Linked DNA regions of Arabidopsis thaliana. The protein of the gene in region 1 interacts with the protein of each later gene in a biochemical or structural test. Each region holds a gene or a part of one and is shown in the gene's direction. Other genes may lie near its edges. The genes, in order: TTL3, AT5G42440, GAPB and NADP-ME2.

Region 1 (5,570 bases):
GCCGTTAACGGAAACTGTGTGCTTAGCTGGCAGACACAGCAGAGAAGTCAATAACCAGCTGGCATGATCACCGTTTTGCAATTATCCCCATAATTACCGCAACACCCTTCTATTTTTTTATCCTTTTTTTTCTTTAATTAGTATTTACTATTTATTATCGTTATGTTCTTAATTATCCTATTATTGTTTTAAATATTTTTATATAGCGAAATAATTTATTTAAGAAAAAGTCAAGAGAAAATTAATTGACTATATATGGAAAATAATTTGAGGGTGCGAGGCATGACCTAGCTAGAGAAAAATAAAATAAAATGAAGGCATGCATGGTGCTTGGTTCAATGTAATTAGTGGTTCCGTAGGTCTGAACGGTACGGACTGGCCATGATCTACTAGAAACAGTAAATAGTTAATACAAAGTAATTAATTATGAGTTTCAGCAAATTAACTACTCTATATCGAATGAATTAAACAGTAATCCCCAGAAAAGAAAAAAAGAGAACTATGACAGCCTTTTCAAAGGACACCCGAAAACCAAAATGAAGATTTTAAAAATGCCAGCTCTGCAATAGATATTGAACTTTCATTTGTAATTTTCTTTATTTTTGTTGCATTACACACATTTGTTATTTACATTTAAATTGGCTATTGCAATAAAAGATTACTTTATATGCTTATAATAGTACAATATATATGGTGGCTTAAACAAAAGTTTGGCTGGCTTGATAAATACATCTTACATCGAATGACGATTTTACCCTCTATCTTGCTGTCTCTGAGTACGAGGGTTGAAATCCTTACGTGGCATTTTTTCTCATTTTTCTTGGTCAAATAGTTTAACCAAACTCCAAAAGTCTGTGATTTGTTGACATACTTCTAACTAATTTTTTTTTATAATAAAAATCTATTGTATCTGTAGAAATAATCATTAGATTTACTTTCTAGAATATAACTTCTTATTTCTTAGTAATTTGTCCAGATTTTTTTTTACAACTAACTAAACACTAGTTAAAATGTTAATGTCTAAAAAATACCATTACAATTATTCAATTTAATAAAAATTGAGTCGGCCAATTTAATGCGAGACTTCTGTACAACGACCCTAAAAGTGGGTTTGATAAATGAAACATATTGCAACAAAAAAATACTAGTAATAATGATAAAATAGTAACATGTCGTGGCGCATTGAATATCCTACGAAGGTTTAGTGTTTACTTTTAAAAAATCCTAATATGATACTAGTACATATAGCTAGCTTGCCTTGCTTATGCTATTGCATAGTCTGTATTAATAAATGATGTTATACATTTCGATAGAGTAACATTTTGGGAACATGAGTGAACGTGCTTGAATCTTCGTGCCCTTGACGTCAGAAGCTAGTAATTTTAAATACTAATTAACATTCATACAAATTAACAGATACAATGTACTATATCATAATTCGTTTCCGTAACACAACGCAACAATTTGAAAGTAGATGTACTTTAGTACTTAGTTAGTGTGCACCAAAAAAAAAAGATGTAGTTAGTTAGTAAGGGGTTAAATGTTTTAATTTATTAAGAAAACTTAAATTCATTAAATGTTAGAAAAAGTCTAATTAGTTTATATTCGAACACTGTGCTCAAAATTAAAAAGTCAACTATTTTAGACTATAGAGTTTATTAATTAATAATAAATTCGATAAATCACCGTATTATTTTCTTCAACGACAAGTAGCCGTGAAGACACGGGAGCGAAGAGAGATAAACAGAAGATGAAGAAGAAGATCAATGTCATAATCTTCAGGGAGATAAATCCGTAATCTTTATTAATCAAGGTTAATCCTTTTTTTTTTCTTCATCTTAATTCTTTGCGTCTTCCTTTTCTATTTATCACGAGATCTGTCTTTCTTTTTCCTCTTCTTTCTCTCTCTTCTCTCTGAAGACAGTACTTGTTTCTGTCCGGCGTTAAAAGCTTCGGTGGTGGTCTCTTGACTTCTCTGAGAAGAAGAAAAGGAAGCTGAGTCTCATTTTAGATTCAGCTCACGAGGAAGTGACGACGATGTCTCATTCTAGAAGACTTTCGTTGGAACCTGCTATAGATTCAATCACTGGTCGATTTCGTGATTTACAGAGAAATGATGATGACGTCAACAAACCTGATTTTCGAGAACTCGATCTAGGTTCTCCTGTTTCTACCTTAATGCCACGTGGCTCTGCTTCTTCTTCCGCTGCTGCGACTCCTACTAGCAGCTCTGGCTCTTCTGGCTCTGCTTCTGGTAAACCGTCGGTGAGTTCTCAGATGGCTAAACGGTTAGATGATGCTTACAAGAGTCATTCCGGTGAGCTTTCTAGCCCCGGATCCGGAATGCCGACCACGACCCGGATTCTTAAACCGGGTCATAGAAGATCTTCTTCTACTGGCACGCCTTTGATCTTCTCTGGCTCTAGCTTTACTTCAGCAACGAGTCACACCTCGCCACAAGGAGGTGGTAGCGGTGCTACGTCGGCAGTGTCTCCCAATACTGGCGTTTTACCGGCGGGAAATATTTGTCCGTCGGGTCGGATCTTGAAAACTGGAATGGCGTCTCGGACTTCAAGTAGGACTGAGACTCTATGCACAGGAACTGGTAATTACGGACATGGAAACGTTGTACGCAGCGGCGGAGGAGGAGGAACCAGCGGAAAGGCGGTGAGAGTGGCGGAGAATGGCGAAAACCCGGAGGAGTTGAAGAGAATGGGGAATGATATGTATAGGAGAGGGAGTTTCTCTGAAGCTCTGTCGCTTTATGACAGAGCAATTTTGATTTCACCGGGAAATGCAGCTTACAGAAGCAACCGTGCCGCGGCTTTAACGGCATTGAGGCGGTTAGGAGAAGCCGTTAAAGAATGTCTTGAAGCTGTTAGGATTGATCCTTCTTACTCCAGAGCTCACCAAAGACTTGCTTCTCTCTATCTCAGGTAATCTTGAGAGGCTTTTTGTTTTGTTGCTGTGTTTTTAGTTTAAAGATTGAGAATTTGAAATGATGGAGTGAATTGTTGCTTTAGATTGGGTGAAGCTGAGAATGCAAGACGTCACATTTGTTTTTCTGGTCAATGTCCGGATCAAGCTGATCTCCAACGGCTACAGACGCTGGAGAAGCATCTCCGACGATGCTGGGAGGCTCGAAAGATTGGAGATTGGAAAACCGCGATTAAGGAAACCGATGCAGCCATTGCAAACGGCGCTGATTCGTCTCCTCAGGTGATTACATATCATTGTCGTATGATATGCTTGTAAAGATTTTTGACTAACAGTGAGGTTTTTTCTATTGGTTTGGACAGCTTGTAGCTTGTAAAGCAGAAGCCTTTTTGCGTCTTAAGCAAATAGAGGATTCGGATTTTTGTGTATCTTGCATTCCAAGATTGGATCATCATTACCATTCTCAACCGCAGGTGAAACTCTTTGGTATGGTAGTTGAAGCTTATGTGCTCTGTATCCAAGCTCAAGTTGATATGGCATTAGGAAGGTGAGCTTTCGAAACTCAGAAATGTTGTGATTCTTTGGATTTTTGTTTCTCCACCGGTGAGTGAGTAGATATGATAGGTTTGTTGCAGATTTGAGAATGCGGTTGTCAAGGCAGAGAGAGCTGCGATGCTTGATCAAACCAATCCTGAGGTTGTATCAGTTTTAAACAATGTGAAGATGGTTGTGCGGGCACGTACTCGTGGTAATGAGCTATTTAGTTCGGGGAGATTCTCGGAAGCGTGTGTAGCTTATGGAGACGGTCTCAAGCAAGATGACTCCAATTCGGTTTTGTACTGCAACAGAGCAGCGTGTTGGTATAAGCTCGGTTTGTGGGAGAAATCTGTTGAAGATTGTAACCATGCGCTCAAAAGCCAGCCTAGTTACATCAAGGCACTTCTACGTAGGGCTGCTTCATATGGAAAGGTGAGATTAGAACTTACTATAATCAGTTATTGACAGAATTTTGCAGTGTATTCGAATGACAATGTGTGTTGAAATATATAGCTTGGTAGGTGGGAGGATGCGGTTAAAGATTATGAGTTCTTGAGAAGAGAACTTCCAGGAGACAGTGAAGTTGCAGAGTCTCTAGAGAGAGCGAAAACAGTGCTAATGAACAGAAGCCAAGAATCTAAAAGCCTAGGTTTCAATAATGAAGTTGAAGCGGTTTCGACTTTGGATAAGTTCAAGAAATCCGTAGCACTTCCCGGTAAGTCTAATGAGAAACTTCAATTTGTCTCAAAAGGTTGAGATTTTGCGTGTCTTGCTCAAGTTGGAAACATTTCTCTTCAGGTGTCTCTGTATTTCATTTCAAATCATCATCAAACCGACAATGCGAAGAAATTTCTCCATTCATCAACACTTTATGTCTTCGGTATCCATTAGTACATTTCTTTATGGTAAGAACAAGAACACATTCCAAATATGCTTTTTATATCACATTTTCTTCTAAACTTATATGTATAACCTATGTTTCTCAATGTGTTAACTGAGAAAATGAAATGTTATTAGGTGGATGTGGAGGAGAGCATGGCGTTGGCGAAAGCAGAGAGTATCAGGAAAGTTCCGACATTTAAGATGTACAAGAATGGAGATAAAGTGAAGGAGATGGTTTGTCCTAGCCATCAGTTTCTAGAGGACTCTATAAAGCATTTCCTCTTATGATTGAAAAAGCCCTATCATCATTATCTGCTTCCCTATGATTCGATCCGAATAGCCTATTTAAAAGACTCAGAAAGCATTCTATGTGAAAGATGGGAAAGAGCTCTTCTGTCAAATTCAACAAACTATTCATTCTTTCTTCTTATTCGATTCTAATTCTTCTTTATTTATTTTTTGGAGTTTGGCTCTGCTTGCTTTGGCATATTACGTATGGGTAAATGTTCGCAATGATTCAAGAAATGCAAGCTTCATTATCTATTTACGCTTGGCTTGTGTATGCTAGATTATTCACCACACCAGTGAAAGAAACTGAACAGAGTTTACTGTATTTGGTGTTGTTGATTCAATCAGTGACAGAATATGAATCAGAGAGTACCGAATCCAATCAGCTTCTATCTCAGCAATTCAGAAATGAAGGAATATAAGTTTCAAGATTGGATCCATAAGGATAGATAGTAAGACGACAGTAGTGAATTACAAATAAGAGTGTCCTGAGACAGGCATGCAATACATTCAAACCAGAGAGACATTTAGGGCTAAACCAGAGTACAAGTAACATAGACAATCATGATATAGGGAACAGAGAAACTCTACTTTTCACTATTATTCACCGCACATTCAGTTCTTGAAACATATTGTCCAGGTGCACACATATCATATCACTGCAACATAAGCAAAGAAATCTTGAATCAAAATCGGCTTATTTTAATTTGATTTACCCCGAGTAAAGGAATCTCTTATACTTACCTCTGCATCGTCTCCACCAGCACCAGGTTTGGCAGAACCATTCGTCTTATGAGCATCGTCTCCTGCACACAAATGCAAAATTAACAGTTGAAGTCCAAGTGAAAATATATATTGATAAAAACTGGCAATCGTCTTCCAGATGCTATTTCAACTATCTATCATCAAGAATGTCCATGGATATG
Region 2 (3,892 bases), on another chromosome or scaffold:
GTGACCATGTCCCCCCTTCGATGAGGTATCGACGAACTTGAGATTAATCACCTCCATCGCAAGACGAGAAGTCTGCCTTAGCAGTGACTGACGAAGAGTCACAACTCTCTTCTTTGGACCCATGCAGCAACCCTTAATCATCAAGTAGTCATCCTTCACTATACCGTAATGTGCGAATCCTCCCATTGGAGTTATTTCCTTCTCAGTCCTAAGTTTGAAAAAAAGACATACCCTTTCCTCTGTGACGATTAGCTCTCTTCCTTGGTAAGAAACCAAGAGAACCATGTCTTGGATGCTCAAACTTCCTGTGAGACATTCTTCTTCTCCTCCTAATTCGTTTCAATAAACAGTAAATTTGAAATCAAGCTCTAATCAAAATAACTCTGAATCAGTTCTCTATTGATTCGACTAAGATTCTAACTAAGTCTGAATCGTAAAATCTTTGAAAATGGAGGTGGAGGAAGAGAGAAGAAGAAGAACCTGAAACTCCGATGAGCCCTGCGGCGTAAGACTCTGACGAGAAGTGAGGAATAAAAAACCTATTTACGTTCCTTTTATACAAAACCTTAAACACGTTTTTGAACATTTTTAAAATGTGAACCCATTTTCCTTATTGGGCTTCACAAAAGCCCAAATCAATGGAAATTAGGGTAAATAATTGTGCCCTATATAATGTCATCTTCATCTCTCAGCTTCCGTCTTCTATACCATACTCCAAATCTCGTTTTTGTTCAGTTCTTAATTTCAGTCTGCACTTTTTTTTCTTAGGTTTGAAGAGATTGATGAAATCAAATACATCGATCGCTAGTGTCTTGAAGACGCGATGAGCGTCGATTTTCCACACGAGATTTCTGACTCTTGATCTGTTTTTTTCTTTTTCGTCATAAAAAAAAATTGATTTGATTTCTTTGGTGGACATTAGATAGTATCATCCCTTTTATAATAAACAGTGACAAAAAAAGTTGGGGAAAAAAAAAAAATATAGTATCATCCCCAGCATGTTATTTTTAAAAATAAATTTAGTACATAACAAAATGTTTACGGATGTTAAAAATAGTATTTGGATCAAATATTAATCATAATCATGACAAGAAACACTTGAACCCCACAAATTATAAGCATAAACAAAACAACTCAAGATCTTTAAACGAAAACAAACAAAACGAAAATCTGTGACAGTGTATTCTTCTACTTTTTCTTAAACCAATTCAATCGAGTGTTTTAAGACCATTTTGTCTGTCCTATGACGTATGTTCTGTTCTGTTTCGCTTAGTTTTACGGTTTCTTATGGTTTTGAGCTCATATGATTTTGTTCTGAACCCTTGAATTCTCTAATAATGAAAGCAAATTATGTAGATATGAGTTTGTTCTGTCTAATTATCTTAGTAATGATGTTGTCTTAAAGAGTTCGTGTTTGATGCTTTCCTTAGGTGTGTTTGGTCTAGGTAACAAGTAATGAAATGAGTTTGTGTTTGATGCTTTTATTAGATGAGTTTGGTCTAATTATTTTAATGCTTTTACTAGAATCCAAAATATTTATAATTTATCATTTTAAAAGTATGATTTATTTCTCTTAAAGAAATCCATGCATGACTCTACCATTAAATAATAAAAAATATAAGAATTCAACACAAACTCTAAACTTTGAATTGTTCAAATTTATAATTAAAGAAAAAAAATAGAGTCACTTTATCATTGAAAATTGTCTTAGGGGTATAAATTAGTTTAAGCAACTAAACCTTGTAGTTTAATTGTTCCAAAACTATAAGCTAACTAATTTTGATATCAAGTAAAGAAATTCCCACTTCATAGCAGAAATTTTCAAGCATTTTACACATACTTCGTAACCACCAATATCGTCAAGACACGTGTACAACCTGCGTAGACTTTCTCCAGCAACAATCGTTGACTTGTCTTATCTACGACTACGACTCAATCAAAACCTTACACTTCCTCCTCCGTCACTATCAATGGCGGATCATCTCTTACTCTCTCTTTCTCAATCTCTCTCTCTCAATCTCATACTGATCCCAAACACTATCCATGGATTACCAAATCTCACTAATCCTAGCCACCAGCATAAGCTCCATCTTCCTCTTGCTTATCGTCTTCACCGTCGTTATGATCGTATGTCGCCGTCGTCCTCCAATCCAAAACCATCCTCGCCGGAATCGTAACTTCCCCGACCCCGATCCCGATCTAAACACGGAAACAGTAACCGAAAGCTTCGATCCATCAATCTGTGAAATATCCATGGCGGAACTCACTATAGCAACTAAAAACTTCTCATCGGATCTTATCGTCGGCGACGGAAGTTTCGGTCTCGTTTATCGAGCTCAGCTCTCAAACGGCGTCGTAGTCGCCGTTAAAAAGCTCGATCACGACGCTTTACAAGGATTCCGAGAATTCGCAGCCGAAATGGACACTCTAGGTCGTCTCAATCACCCAAACATAGTTAGGATCCTCGGTTATTGCATCTCGGGATCAGATCGGATTCTTATCTACGAGTTCTTAGAGAAAAGTAGTCTTGACTATTGGTTACACGAGACTGACGAAGAGAACAGTCCATTGACTTGGTCAACGCGCGTGAATATCACGCGCGATGTGGCCAAGGGTTTAGCTTATCTGCATGGTTTACCGAAACCAATTATACATAGAGATATCAAATCGAGTAATGTGCTGTTGGATTCGGATTTCGTGGCGCATATTGCGGATTTCGGATTGGCGCGAAGGATCGATGCGTCGAGGTCGCATGTGTCGACGCAAGTGGCGGGGACGATGGGGTACATGCCACCGGAGTATTGGGAAGGGAATACCGCGGCGACGGTTAAAGCTGATGTTTATAGTTTTGGTGTATTGATGTTGGAATTGGCGACGCGGAGACGGCCGAATTTAACGGTTGTTGTGGATGAGAAGGAAGTTGGGTTGGCTCAATGGGCTGTGATCATGGTGGAGCAAAATCGGTGTTATGAAATGTTGGATTTTGGAGGTGTTTGTGGTAGTGAGAAGGGAGTGGAAGAGTATTTTAGGATTGCTTGTCTTTGTATTAAAGAGTCGACTAGAGAAAGGCCTACTATGGTTCAAGTGGTGGAGTTATTGGAGGAGTTATGTCGATTTATGTAGTCATATTAATCCAATAGGTAAATGTAATTAGTCTTTTTTATCACACAAGTGAAGTTCGTTACATATTGTAATAATTGGGTAAAATATTCGGACCAAAAGAAGTTACAAAATAAGTTTCTATGTTCTGCTTATTTACGTTTTAGTTTTAGAGATTTATGTATTAGGAACTAGAGTGTTTTGTTTTTTGACTTTACGTCTATGTGCTAAACATCGGCTGAGATAATTAACTTTTAGGATCTTCTGTCAATCTTTAAAATTCTATTGATTTTTGAATGATTGCAAAGAAAACAAAACTTGAAGTGATTCTATCAATTTTAGGTTTCATTTAAAATCATTAGAATTGAGGATTTAGAAAAGGTAAAAAGGCATTTGGAACTGTTTAGTGTTTACCATGACAGATGAAGGAGCACACACACGTACTGTTGCAGTAAAGTGAATAAAAGAAGTTATTCTAAACATGAGAGATTCGTGAGCTTTATTTTATCGTGCCATACAAATATACAATCATACTTTAACCATTGTTCTCTGCTATGAGATAAGAGATGCTTCTTTCTTTCTTTCTGCAAGCATTTTATTTAATTTGGACTCCAAAAATAAAATTAAACACCTTGATTAGACTGTTTAAGAAGAATTCAGATTAATTATCAAGACTTGTTTTCAGAAAAGTATAAAATGAATGTTTTCAGGAAAAAAATATAAATGATTTTATTTTTTTTGGTAAAATATATAAATGAATAATGATAAATAAGGAAAGATACTACAATTAACA
Region 3 (4,737 bases), on another chromosome or scaffold:
TTGATCCATTTTCATTTCTCCCAATATTTATTACATTTTTTTTTTTTTGATGTAATATTTGTAATAAATATTTAAATAAATAATTACCACTGAATCGAAGAAGCTTTGCTTAGATATCATCGAACTTGCTCCAACTGCTCTATCTCAGGATCTCTCTCAGACACAGTTTCTTCCATCCATGGCGTCTCTTTCTTCTACCTCTCTCTCTCTCCCCAAGAATTCTCACCAACTCCATCCTTCATCTGGTAATAACTTCTTCAATCTCTCCAATCTTCGTGCTTTATAGATTTTCAATATCCTCCATTTTCGAGCTCATGAGATTCGTACAGTCATGTTACGATTTCTAATTTAGCATCTCACAAAACCCAATTTAATTGTGTATTGGACGATCTTGATTCCTTTATGTTGTTGGGTCCTTTCTTTTTACTTGTGCTGATTTGTCAAAACAATGCAAAATTAGAGCTTGAAGCTGTTTTGTTAGAAAACTGTTCAACTTGTTATGTATAAGTCACTGATTGTTGTTTGTTCTTGTTACCTTCTAGGTTTTTCTCTGAATCCAAATGCTCGTTGTGTCAGTGTTTCATTTGGACTGAATCACTCCAACAAACTTCATATTTCTGCTCCTAGAACCAAAAGGATCCTAACCATTCAATCTGCATACAGGTATATAACTTTATCTTATACAAATTATTGTTTGAGATGTCGAAAACTGTGGTTCTTGTTACTCCTTAATGTTTTGTGAGCATCGTAACATTTTTTAGTATACTTTAGTTTTCTATTGGCAACTTATGTTTACAGAGACAGTTTGCAATGTCTAATAGCATCAAAACTTGCAGAGATGATGATGGTTCAGGCAGCACAGGCCTATTCGTCGGAGGGTTTATTTTGGGCGGACTTATAGTCGGTGCCCTCGGATGTGTATATGCACCACAGGTAGTAATCTGTTACATGGTTTAGTTTGATCACTCTTAGAGCTTGTATTCGTTTCAATCAAGAAGTTCTTGAGTGGACTCGAGGAGCTCTGTAACCTTCTCTGTTTCACTTTGACTCATCAATGTGTGATGTTACTTTTGTGAATTGTATCAGATCAGCAAGGCTATAGCTGGAGCAGACCGAAAGGATCTCATGAGGAAGTTGCCTAAATTCATATATGACGAGGAAAAAGCTTTGGAGGTAAGTTATTGCTAAGCCTCTTGATTCATATTTTATCTCACTTTTTGTTGAATTTACTTATGAACAATGTTGTCTACTGTTAATGCAGAAAACACGTAAGGTACTAGCTGAGAAAATTGCTCAGCTTAACTCTGCTATCGACGATGTCTCCTCTCAGCTCAAATCAGAAGATACTCCGAATGGTGCAGCTCTAAGCACCGATGAAATCGAGGCTACAGCCTGAAATCATCTGTTTTTAGGATTTGAAATTGAATCATGGGAGATTACTTACTATGATCCCAATAATTGTTTTCCTTTCTGTGTAATGTTGTACAACTTTTCGTCTACTATCTTCAAATGACTGCTTTCTTCCTTCTTCTTTTTTTCTCGAAATCGCGGTGTTGAAGGATATATCACAGTTATATGCGAAACCAGACGTTATGAAGACTATATAATATCCTGATGAAAACTATATGACATGAAAAGAAGGATTAAAAAAATGAGTCTCTTGAGAAACTTGTGATCACTGGCTCACAGAATCTTATCCCCATATGTATCTTACCTACATAATAGCCACATATTACTTTGCTTCACTTTGAACCATTGGTTGGTTTTGATCAAAACCAAAGGATGTGTGTATGTATGTATATATTCTAACGCTCAAAACTGATCACTAGCATTCCTAGATTTTTCCTTCTTGTGATCACTTGCAGCTATGGCCACACATGCAGCTCTCGCCGTCTCAAGAATCCCGGTCACACAGCGACTGCAGTCTAAGAGTGCCATTCACTCTTTCCCTGCTCAATGCTCCTCCAAGGTATGAACTCCATCTGACTACTACATACCCTCTGTTTATGTGTGTGGTACAGTTTGTTTTATTGGTTTCTCTTGTTACTTACTTGCACAGAGGCTAGAAGTCGCTGAATTCTCCGGTCTGCGTATGAGTAGTATCGGTGGGGAAGCATCTTTCTTCGATGCTGTAGCTGCACAAATCATCCCTAAGGTAACTTATTTATTGATTGAATCAGTAACTGTATTGTTATCATGATTTGTGAATATGTGATGAGTTTGTGAAATATTAGGCTGTGACAACATCAACTCCTGTTAGAGGAGAGACAGTGGCGAAACTGAAAGTTGCGATTAACGGTTTTGGAAGGATTGGTAGGAACTTTCTTAGGTGTTGGCATGGTCGTAAAGACTCTCCTCTCGAAGTTGTTGTACTTAACGACAGTGGTGGTGTCAAGAATGTAAGTATGTAATAAACTTTGTGAACTCTTCTTGTGGAACACATTTTTGACATTTGATGAAATTTGCAGGCATCCCACTTGCTTAAGTATGACTCCATGCTTGGAACCTTCAAGGCTGAAGTGAAAATTGTGGACAATGAAACTATTAGTGTTGATGGTAAGCTCATCAAAGTTGTCTCCAACAGAGACCCTCTTAAGCTTCCATGGGCTGAGCTCGGCATTGACATTGTTATCGAGGTGAAATTTCTACCGAAAACTGCTTATTATGATGGCAAATCGCGCTACGGAACTTAGTTAATCGAAAACTGTATATGGTTATGATCATCAGGGAACAGGAGTGTTTGTTGATGGGCCAGGAGCAGGGAAGCATATCCAAGCCGGAGCCTCGAAAGTTATCATCACTGCACCAGCCAAAGGTGCTGATATCCCTACCTATGTTATGGGAGTCAATGAGCAAGACTATGGTCACGATGTCGCTAACATTATTAGGTCCGTTTAAAGTTAAACCTTTGATCTCATTAAAGCATGAACGAGTTTGAGTATTCATGCTTCAGTTTTGGTCTTTCTTTGCAGCAATGCATCTTGCACCACCAACTGTTTGGCACCTTTTGCTAAAGTCTTGGATGAAGAATTTGGTACATTTTATTTTCTCTGCTTCACTACATGTTTCAAAATGTTTTTTTTATAGCTCATACATGAACTGAATCACAGGAATTGTCAAGGGGACAATGACAACCACACACTCCTACACCGGAGACCAAGTAAGATTCCATCTTTTTGTCTATCTATCCATGTAGAAACCTAACGGAAGAGCTTGCTTGTATTGTCAAAAAAATAAATATGTTTGAAATGAATTGTTTCAGAGGCTTCTAGATGCATCACACAGGGACCTAAGGCGTGCAAGAGCCGCAGCACTGAACATAGTGCCTACCAGCACAGGAGCAGCCAAGGCGGTGTCATTAGTGTTGCCGCAGCTGAAGGGTAAACTTAACGGCATTGCACTCCGTGTGCCAACACCAAACGTCTCAGTGGTTGACCTTGTTATAAACGTTGAGAAGAAAGGTTTGACAGCAGAGGATGTGAACGAGGCCTTTAGAAAAGCCGCTAATGGACCGATGAAAGGCATTTTAGACGTTTGCGATGCGCCTCTTGTCTCTGTTGACTTCAGGTGCTCTGATGTCTCTACCACCATTGACTCGTCCCTCACTATGGTTATGGGTGATGATATGGTCAAGGTGGTTGCTTGGTATGATAACGAGTGGGGTTACAGGTGAGAGAGATATAACACATTACATGATATCATTTTATGTTTTAACCTATGATTGTTTGTTTATGTTTTGTGTTTGCGTTTGCGTGTTCGTGTTTTAGCCAAAGAGTGGTGGATTTGGCTCACCTAGTGGCTAGCAAGTGGCCGGGAGCGGAAGCTGTTGGAAGTGGAGATCCTTTGGAGGATTTCTGCAAGACAAACCCGGCTGATGAGGAATGCAAAGTCTATGACTGAACAACTTTGATCATTTCTTTCTTTATTTTTCACCAAAACAATACTTTGTATCATGAGTTACTTATTCGAAATCGTACTATGCATACTTGTTTTTCTCATAAGATTTTCTTGTCTGATGAACAACTATATGTTAAGACTGAGAGAATTGTATTTGAGAAATAACCATTTTATGCTACATGTTAAAACGGAATTTATTTGAGCAATGTATGACAAAAGAAATTGTTTGATTTGGTTTACAAATAAAGATGCATGAGTGTGCAACAAAATAATGAAACATTCAATCTAGAGAAAAGAGATTTGATATTTTCAACTTGATTTCTTTATTGTATGATGGTTGGAATTGATCTTTTTGAATTTCATAATACATATGTAATTTTTTTATATTAAAAATGAAAAATAAAGAAAGAATAAATTAAAATCAATGTAAGGTATTATACCATATAGTTTTTAAATATTAAAAATTTAGAACCAAACTCTTATGACGATTTCTCAATTGAATTTTTAACTTATGCAATAACAACAACAACAAAAAACAACAAAAAAAATGGTAGCAGGCTGATTTTTGAATTGAGTCTACAAAACTTTTAATGATGTAGGTGAAAAATGAGAAAATTGTACAAAATTTGTTAATTCAATCATTTTCATTGCAGCTCTTCAACCAACTCAGCCTTTTTTTCTCAAGCTTGTTTCTTTATTAGACTCGAGTTCCATCTTTTGTTCAGCTAGAAATAGCTTCTCTGGTTATTGAACCTATCAGAGCAAGGAATAGTCGTACACATTCTGGAAGTGAATCAATCAATCATTATAGTGGTGATTTTTTAATCAATGCTTTGGGCA
Region 4 (6,317 bases), on another chromosome or scaffold:
TCTTCCTCAGTTTCTGCATACTGACATGTCATGCATCGGTATGTGAGGATTTCTCATGAGGGACTCTTTCATTGGTTGGTGATAGGCTGATAGCTAGGGTCGATTCTAGATGATGGATTTATTATTAGTAATATAGGTTTTATTTAATTGTGTCTTCTTTACCAAACTCGAAATTTAAAAAAATCTCAGATAAGAGCTAAGCTGAACTGGATCTCAGCTAAACACAAAAATCTTCAAGAACCTTTTGTCTAAGTACAGTTCTAGATATGTAGATTTATGATTTACAATTTCTAGATTCATAAATTAAGCTTCTACAAAACGGGCGCTTGTACATTTTCTAACTATTTTTCTTATAACTTGCTTATGTTTTCCATATATTTTGCATAGTTTTTTTCAACTTGTTTTCTTTTAATCTTATTTCAAAAAATTAAACATATCATTAGATATAAGCTTTTTCCACTTAGAATGTCGCATAACTACTTACTTTTTAGAAATATTTCTACTAAACCCAAATAGGGTAAAAGGGGATAACGCTGATACCACTTTAAATTTCTAATCTAAAGGTGACGTTTTATTATGACAGAGAAAATACGAAATAGACGATATTATGTTATATAGCAAGCCTTTTGACTTTATAGAAGTGAGAAGCGAGGATTAAGGGGTCAAAAAAATGAAACATATATAGAAAGTAAACTTTGAAAAATATAGGAGTTGGTGAAGAAAATGAACATGTTGGAGTCGAGGATTCCCTAATATGTTCTAGAAAATATGAGCTTTTAGCAACTATAAACGCGTCTTGGTCCATCTTAGCTTACTTTTTGTATGAACGCAAGACAAATATTGGAATGACTGCAAAATAAAAAAAAAGCGAAAACCAAATATTGGTCAATCGAAAAGTAAGTGGAGACAATAAAAGGCGAGCAAGAAAACCTCAATGCTTTCTTATTTTAAAACTATTGAAATTCACTGCAAAACAAAAACAAAAAAAATGCTTATTTCAAATCGGACATATGTGCTTACGACTAATGAATAATTAATTCAATCCATGCACTAGCAGCAATCCTTATCCATGATCGTTAAATTAAATTATTACTAATAGACTTTAAGCATTCCTTACACTAATAATGACAGTTTGGTACCTATTTGAGGTGGGTTTTTACTATTACATACACTAAAAATGACAGTTCGGTACCTATTTGAGGTGGGTTTATTCTCTGTAATAGTTTATTTGAAAATTTCACTCTTCTTAAATTAGTATTAAAAAAAATCTTGTTGACTTATATAAATTCAAGTTGGGGGGTCCAATATGGCTGCCAAGTTTGATCCTCCGACAACATTCCCGCAGCCTCAAATACAATTATTTGTTTTTTTTTTCCCTTTGATTTGTGACATTGTACAATTATTATGATTTGTTTCTATTATCATCGTATATTCGTACATTTAAAAAAATAAAAAAAAGGGGAAAAGAATCATTTACATAAATAACAATTCATAATGTAATATCGCACCGAGTTTTATAGAAGTCTACACATATCTAATCTCAAAATGAAAGTGGCTTACATGTTTCTTAAACTTTTATTAAATTTGTTATATGTTTGGTGGGAAAAAATAACCAATAATGAAAAAGTGAAAGTTGTCTACACGAGGTAATGGATGAAGAGAGGGACCTACGACGAAGGATGACTCCGTCCACGTTCTTCTTCACTGTTTGACAATAAGCTCCAATTTTCAGACTTTTCATTTCAAACTTGTGGGTCTCATTTTCCTCTGGCCTATATAAATCCACTATCCTCCACTTCTGTCTTTCATCATCATTCCACATAAACAAAATATCTTCTTGCTCATTATTCATCATCAATCTACTACTCCGTAAACTTTGCTTCCTCTGTTTGTATTAGCTCAGAAGAGATATGGGAAGTACTCCGACTGATTTACCCGGTGAGGATGTCGCCGATAACAGATCCGGCGTCGGCGGTGGTATTTCTGACGTCTACGGTGAGGATTCCGCCACCTTGGACCAGCTTGTCACCCCTTGGGTTACCTCTGTCGCTAGGTGAGTCAACCCACCTTTAGATCTCAATCATACCCTTTTGTTTTACTTTTTGTGATCCATCACAATTGCTTCAGCTAAGTAAAGTTTGCTTTTTTAAGTTTCTAAACTTACCAACTTCTGTGAAATATGAACTTAGTGTTTCTTCTTGTTAAAGTTCCGATTTTTCTGTGGGGCTTATAGTGGATTGAAATGTTTTTGTTTTGTTCAGTGGCTACACATTGATGCGTGATCCGAGATACAACAAGGGACTTGCGTTTACTGATAAAGAAAGAGATGCTCATTACTTAACTGGTCTTCTTCCCCCTGTGATTTTGAGTCAGGATGTTCAGGTAACTTGAGGTTTTATATAAAAGAACTCACTTTTGTTTAGTTTTTGAGTTGGGTTTTGTCTGTGTTAACTTCTGTTTTGTGGGTGATTTTATTAGGAGAGGAAGGTGATGCACAATCTCCGTCAGTACACTGTTCCTCTGCAGCGTTACATGGCCCTGATGGATCTTCAGGTCAGTGATTGTTCTTCGAATTCATGTTTAGTAGAGTAGAGAATGTGTCCAAAGCTTTGTTTGGTTAGTTTTTCTTTTCTTACAACTGGTGGCTTATGTATCTGAATCTTGCAGGAAAGGAACGAGAGGTTGTTCTACAAGCTTTTGATTGATAACGTTGAGGAGTTGCTTCCAGTTGTGTACACACCAACAGTTGGTGAGGCTTGCCAGAAGTATGGGAGCATTTTCAGGAAGCCACAGGGTCTCTACATCAGTTTGAACGAGAAGTGTGTTTTAAAATCTCTTTAACCAGGTCGGTTCCATTTTGTTTCTTTAAACTAATGTGAATGGATGTTCTTTAGGGGCAAGATTCTTGAAGTTTTGAAGAACTGGCCCCAGAGAGGAATCCAAGTTATTGTTGTTACTGATGGTGAGCGGATTCTCGGTCTGGGAGATCTTGGTTGCCAGGTAATAAATAAGTTCTTGAGTTACACTTGAAACTTAAACATTTTGTGTTGAAAGTTCACATCTATCATCTGTTTGAACGATTTCAATATTTTCCAGGGAATGGGAATTCCAGTGGGGAAACTTTCTCTTTACACCGCTTTGGGAGGAATCCGTCCATCAGCTGTAAGCACTAGAACAAAAGCTGCTCTAGAAATTGGTTCTACTTGATTGATAACTCAATAACTGTTTTGATCCTAAATGAAAATCGGCTTTCAAATGCAGTGTCTTCCAATCACCATTGATGTGGGTACAAACAATGAGAAGTTGCTAAATGATGAATTCTACATCGGTCTTAAACAGCGAAGAGCAACTGGCCAGGTTTACTAATCAATTCCTATCAGTGTTTTCTCTTCTTATAGCAAATACTATGATTTTTCAAAAACTGAGAAGTCTATTTGCTTTTGTGATTCAGGAATATGCTGAATTCCTGCACGAATTCATGTGCGCTGTAAAGCAGAACTATGGAGAGAAAGTGTTGGTTCAGGTGAGCCATAGGATACTCTCTTAAGAACTATGATTGTTGTCAGAACTACGATAAAAGATGTCCGGAATTAATATCATACACTCATCTTTTCAGTTTGAAGATTTTGCAAACCACAATGCGTTTGACCTTTTGTCTAAGTACAGTGATAGCCATCTTGTCTTCAATGACGATATCCAGGTAGCATCTTCTCCTCAAGATTGATCTTTTTTTTCTTAAATTTTTGGTTGTGATGTCAGAGTGCTTACCAAGAACTTGATTTTGTTTTCTGTAATTGCAGGGTACTGCATCCGTGGTGCTTGCTGGGCTTATTGCCGCTCAGAAGGTGCTTGGTAAAAAACTGGCTGACCATACCTTCCTGTTCTTGGGTGCCGGAGAGGTGAGACCAGAAAGCATTATACTCTATAAGCTTATAATTCTTACATTTATTTTTTGCTGCTTACACTTTATCTCGCTGATTCTTTGAAGGCTGGAACCGGTATCGCTGAGCTAATTGCTCTTAAGATTTCGAAAGAGGTTAGTCAATCTGGGAGTTTTCTTGCATTTGATCTGTTTTTTGGCTAAGAGTATGTGATTGATCATATCTGTTTTTTTTTTTGTAGACTGGAGCTCCCATCACTGAGACCCGGAAGAAGATTTGGCTTGTGGACTCCAAGGTATTGTTAGGCGCCAACCACCAAGATCAGTCTCATCTTTTTTAGCTATACCGTTCTTGTTCATATATGTTTCTCTTTTGAACATTATTTTGCAGGGACTGATTGTTAGCTCACGCAAAGAATCTCTTCAGCACTTCAAGCAGCCATGGGCACATGAGCACAAACCTGTGAAGGACCTCATTGGTGCTGTTAATGTACGTGATGAACTGATCTTTAAATTGCTTGATAGTGAATAGAGAATCTTTTTGTTCACTGTTTGTTGAAACTTTTTCAAACAGGCAATCAAGCCAACCGTTCTCATTGGAACATCCGGTGTGGGTCAGACTTTCACAAAAGAAGTTGTCGAGGCCATGGCTACCAACAACGAGGTTTCTTCTTGTTCTTACTCTCTGCTTTTTCAGAAAACAAGGTATTTATGCTATTTTTCTAATGCTGGTCTTGGTGTTGGCTTATAGAAACCGTTGATTCTTGCTCTCTCAAACCCTACTTCTCAAGCTGAGTGTACTGCTGAACAGGCTTACACATGGACCAAGGTATAATATTGTCTCATATGACATCTAAATGTGATTCATGTCCTCACTCCTGATTATACAACAAAATTATAATTTGGTTTTCATGCTGCTCCTCGAATCTAATCATATATTGTGCTTAAAAAAAGGGTCGTGCAATCTTTGGAAGTGGAAGCCCATTTGATCCTGTTGTGTACGATGGCAAAACCTACTTGCCTGGCCAGGTTCGTGCTATTTCAACAACTTCTTCTCTCTCAACTTTGTACATCTGACAATCTTAGAGCTCACATCATATTTCCACTATCCTACTTAACTTCAGGCAAACAATTGCTACATTTTCCCTGGTCTGGGTCTTGGTTTGATCATGTCTGGGGCAATTCGTGTCCGTGATGACATGCTCCTCGCAGCTTGTAAGTAAAAATAAACTTCAGAAAATCAAACATGGATACTGATAAAGACACTTAAAGATTCTCAATGTCATCTCTCTCTCATGTTTTCAACAGCTGAAGCATTGGCCGCACAAGTGACAGAAGAGCATTACGCCAATGGTCTGATCTACCCGCCATTCTCAAACATCAGAGAGATCTCTGCTAACATTGCAGCCTGTGTCGCCGCCAAAACCTATGACCTCGGTTAGTTGAATGAAACTGTCTTAACTCTTTTAATGAGACTGTCTGAACTCTCTAATCTCAAGTTCTAAAATCGATGTATTGTGGTGTAGGATTGGCGTCGAACCTGCCACGTGCAAAGGATCTTGTCAAGTTTGCAGAGAGCAGCATGTACAGCCCTGTGTACAGAAACTACCGTTAAAAAAGTTTTGTTGAAGAAACCTGCAGATTATACTATTCACAACCCTTGATAGTTTCTTAAGGCTTGTATTTAAGTTTTTTGTTTGTTTGTTTGTTGTTTGTTTTCTCTTCTACATTATGATGCTGTTTGTGAACTCTCTCTCTGTCTTTGCTGATAAATAATAAATTGTTACTAATATAATCTACAAATCATTATTGTCTCAAAGTTACACTTTCCATCCCACATCACAAAATCGATCAACTTGTCTTGGAAGGGAATAATATGCTTTTTTCTGCCACTTGTTGTATCTTATTGGTTGTTTTATTAAAATGGTATAATTGTTGCAGAATTAAAGAACTTGTATCATTATTTTGAAGAGTTTATCAAAAGTTTCATATAGATAATAGGACTATAGAAGCATAGCTGAATACTCTTTTGAAAGTGGTTTCTAAATTGTACTGAGCAAAATGTTCTAAAAACAACAAAACTCCTAATCTTAAGCTAATGATTTTGGCATTTTAGGTAACTACTTGTTATAAATAGCTAAAACAATAACAAGAATCTCTAAAACTCGTCTTCACGTTTTGGTTAAAATCGAAAGCTCAAACAATCCAAACCAAAACTAAACCGAAACAAGATGTCAAAAAAATAAATAAACACCTAAACCGAAACCAAAGTTAAAACAACTGAAAATGGGCTGAACGGTCCCTTTAATCTGAGATGTAATAAGGCCCAAATAGTAACTGTAGATGGGGACAATTGTAACGAAATCAAATTGCGGGCGAAAATCGAACTAAAGAAATAAGTAGAGGGACGAATAAAATGGTTAGAAGGTTTTAAGAA

The links.
Region 2: the proteins of TTL3 (region 1) and AT5G42440 form a complex in vitro, tested with the Arabidopsis thaliana proteins (one study listed by BioGRID).
Region 3: the proteins of TTL3 (region 1) and GAPB form a complex in vitro, tested with the Arabidopsis thaliana proteins (one study listed by BioGRID).
Region 4: the proteins of TTL3 (region 1) and NADP-ME2 form a complex in vitro, tested with the Arabidopsis thaliana proteins (one study listed by BioGRID).

The regions. Positions count from the first base shown.
Region 1 is NC_003071.7:17,726,818-17,732,387, forward strand, and holds TTL3 (tetratricopetide-repeat thioredoxin-like 3), read left to right. Parts: upstream 1-1,661; 5' UTR 1,662-2,037; coding exon 2,038-2,936; intron 2,937-3,023; coding exon 3,024-3,219; intron 3,220-3,299; coding exon 3,300-3,484; intron 3,485-3,572; coding exon 3,573-3,906; intron 3,907-3,987; coding exon 3,988-4,189; intron 4,190-4,272; coding exon 4,273-4,379; intron 4,380-4,491; coding exon 4,492-4,644; 3' UTR 4,645-5,019; downstream 5,020-5,570. Other genes in the region: GRF9 (general regulatory factor 9), read right to left, coding at 5,347-5,450. UniProt on the Arabidopsis thaliana protein: Involved in osmotic and salt stress tolerance. May play a role in the control of meristematic cell size during osmotic stress. May function as an adapter protein for BRL2 and may be required for signaling affecting leaf vascular tissue pattern formation.
Region 2 is NC_003076.8:16,972,665-16,976,556, reverse strand, and holds AT5G42440 (Protein kinase superfamily protein), read left to right. Parts: upstream 1-1,679; 5' UTR 1,680-2,043; coding exon 2,044-3,123; 3' UTR 3,124-3,355; downstream 3,356-3,892.
Region 3 is NC_003070.9:16,125,685-16,130,421, forward strand, and holds GAPB (glyceraldehyde-3-phosphate dehydrogenase B subunit), read left to right. Parts: upstream 1-1,668; 5' UTR 1,669-1,867; coding exon 1,868-1,969; intron 1,970-2,059; coding exon 2,060-2,155; intron 2,156-2,234; coding exon 2,235-2,399; intron 2,400-2,468; coding exon 2,469-2,636; intron 2,637-2,727; coding exon 2,728-2,888; intron 2,889-2,972; coding exon 2,973-3,034; intron 3,035-3,110; coding exon 3,111-3,160; intron 3,161-3,262; coding exon 3,263-3,669; intron 3,670-3,767; coding exon 3,768-3,900; 3' UTR 3,901-4,211; downstream 4,212-4,737. Other genes in the region: AT1G42960 (inner membrane localized protein), read left to right, coding at 179-245, 543-663, 837-933, 1,087-1,173, 1,262-1,396. UniProt on the Arabidopsis thaliana protein: Involved in the photosynthetic reductive pentose phosphate pathway (Calvin-Benson cycle). Catalyzes the reduction of 1,3-diphosphoglycerate by NADPH.
Region 4 is NC_003076.8:3,752,546-3,758,862, forward strand, and holds NADP-ME2 (NADP-malic enzyme 2), read left to right. Parts: upstream 1-1,545; 5' UTR 1,546-1,910; coding exon 1,911-2,053; intron 2,054-2,261; coding exon 2,262-2,382; intron 2,383-2,478; coding exon 2,479-2,553; intron 2,554-2,667; coding exon 2,668-2,819; intron 2,820-2,894; coding exon 2,895-3,000; intron 3,001-3,096; coding exon 3,097-3,162; intron 3,163-3,261; coding exon 3,262-3,357; intron 3,358-3,451; coding exon 3,452-3,523; intron 3,524-3,616; coding exon 3,617-3,700; intron 3,701-3,800; coding exon 3,801-3,899; intron 3,900-3,988; coding exon 3,989-4,036; intron 4,037-4,122; coding exon 4,123-4,176; intron 4,177-4,271; coding exon 4,272-4,370; intron 4,371-4,454; coding exon 4,455-4,544; intron 4,545-4,631; coding exon 4,632-4,709; intron 4,710-4,834; coding exon 4,835-4,909; intron 4,910-5,004; coding exon 5,005-5,095; intron 5,096-5,188; coding exon 5,189-5,317; intron 5,318-5,406; coding exon 5,407-5,495; 3' UTR 5,496-5,797; and 1 more.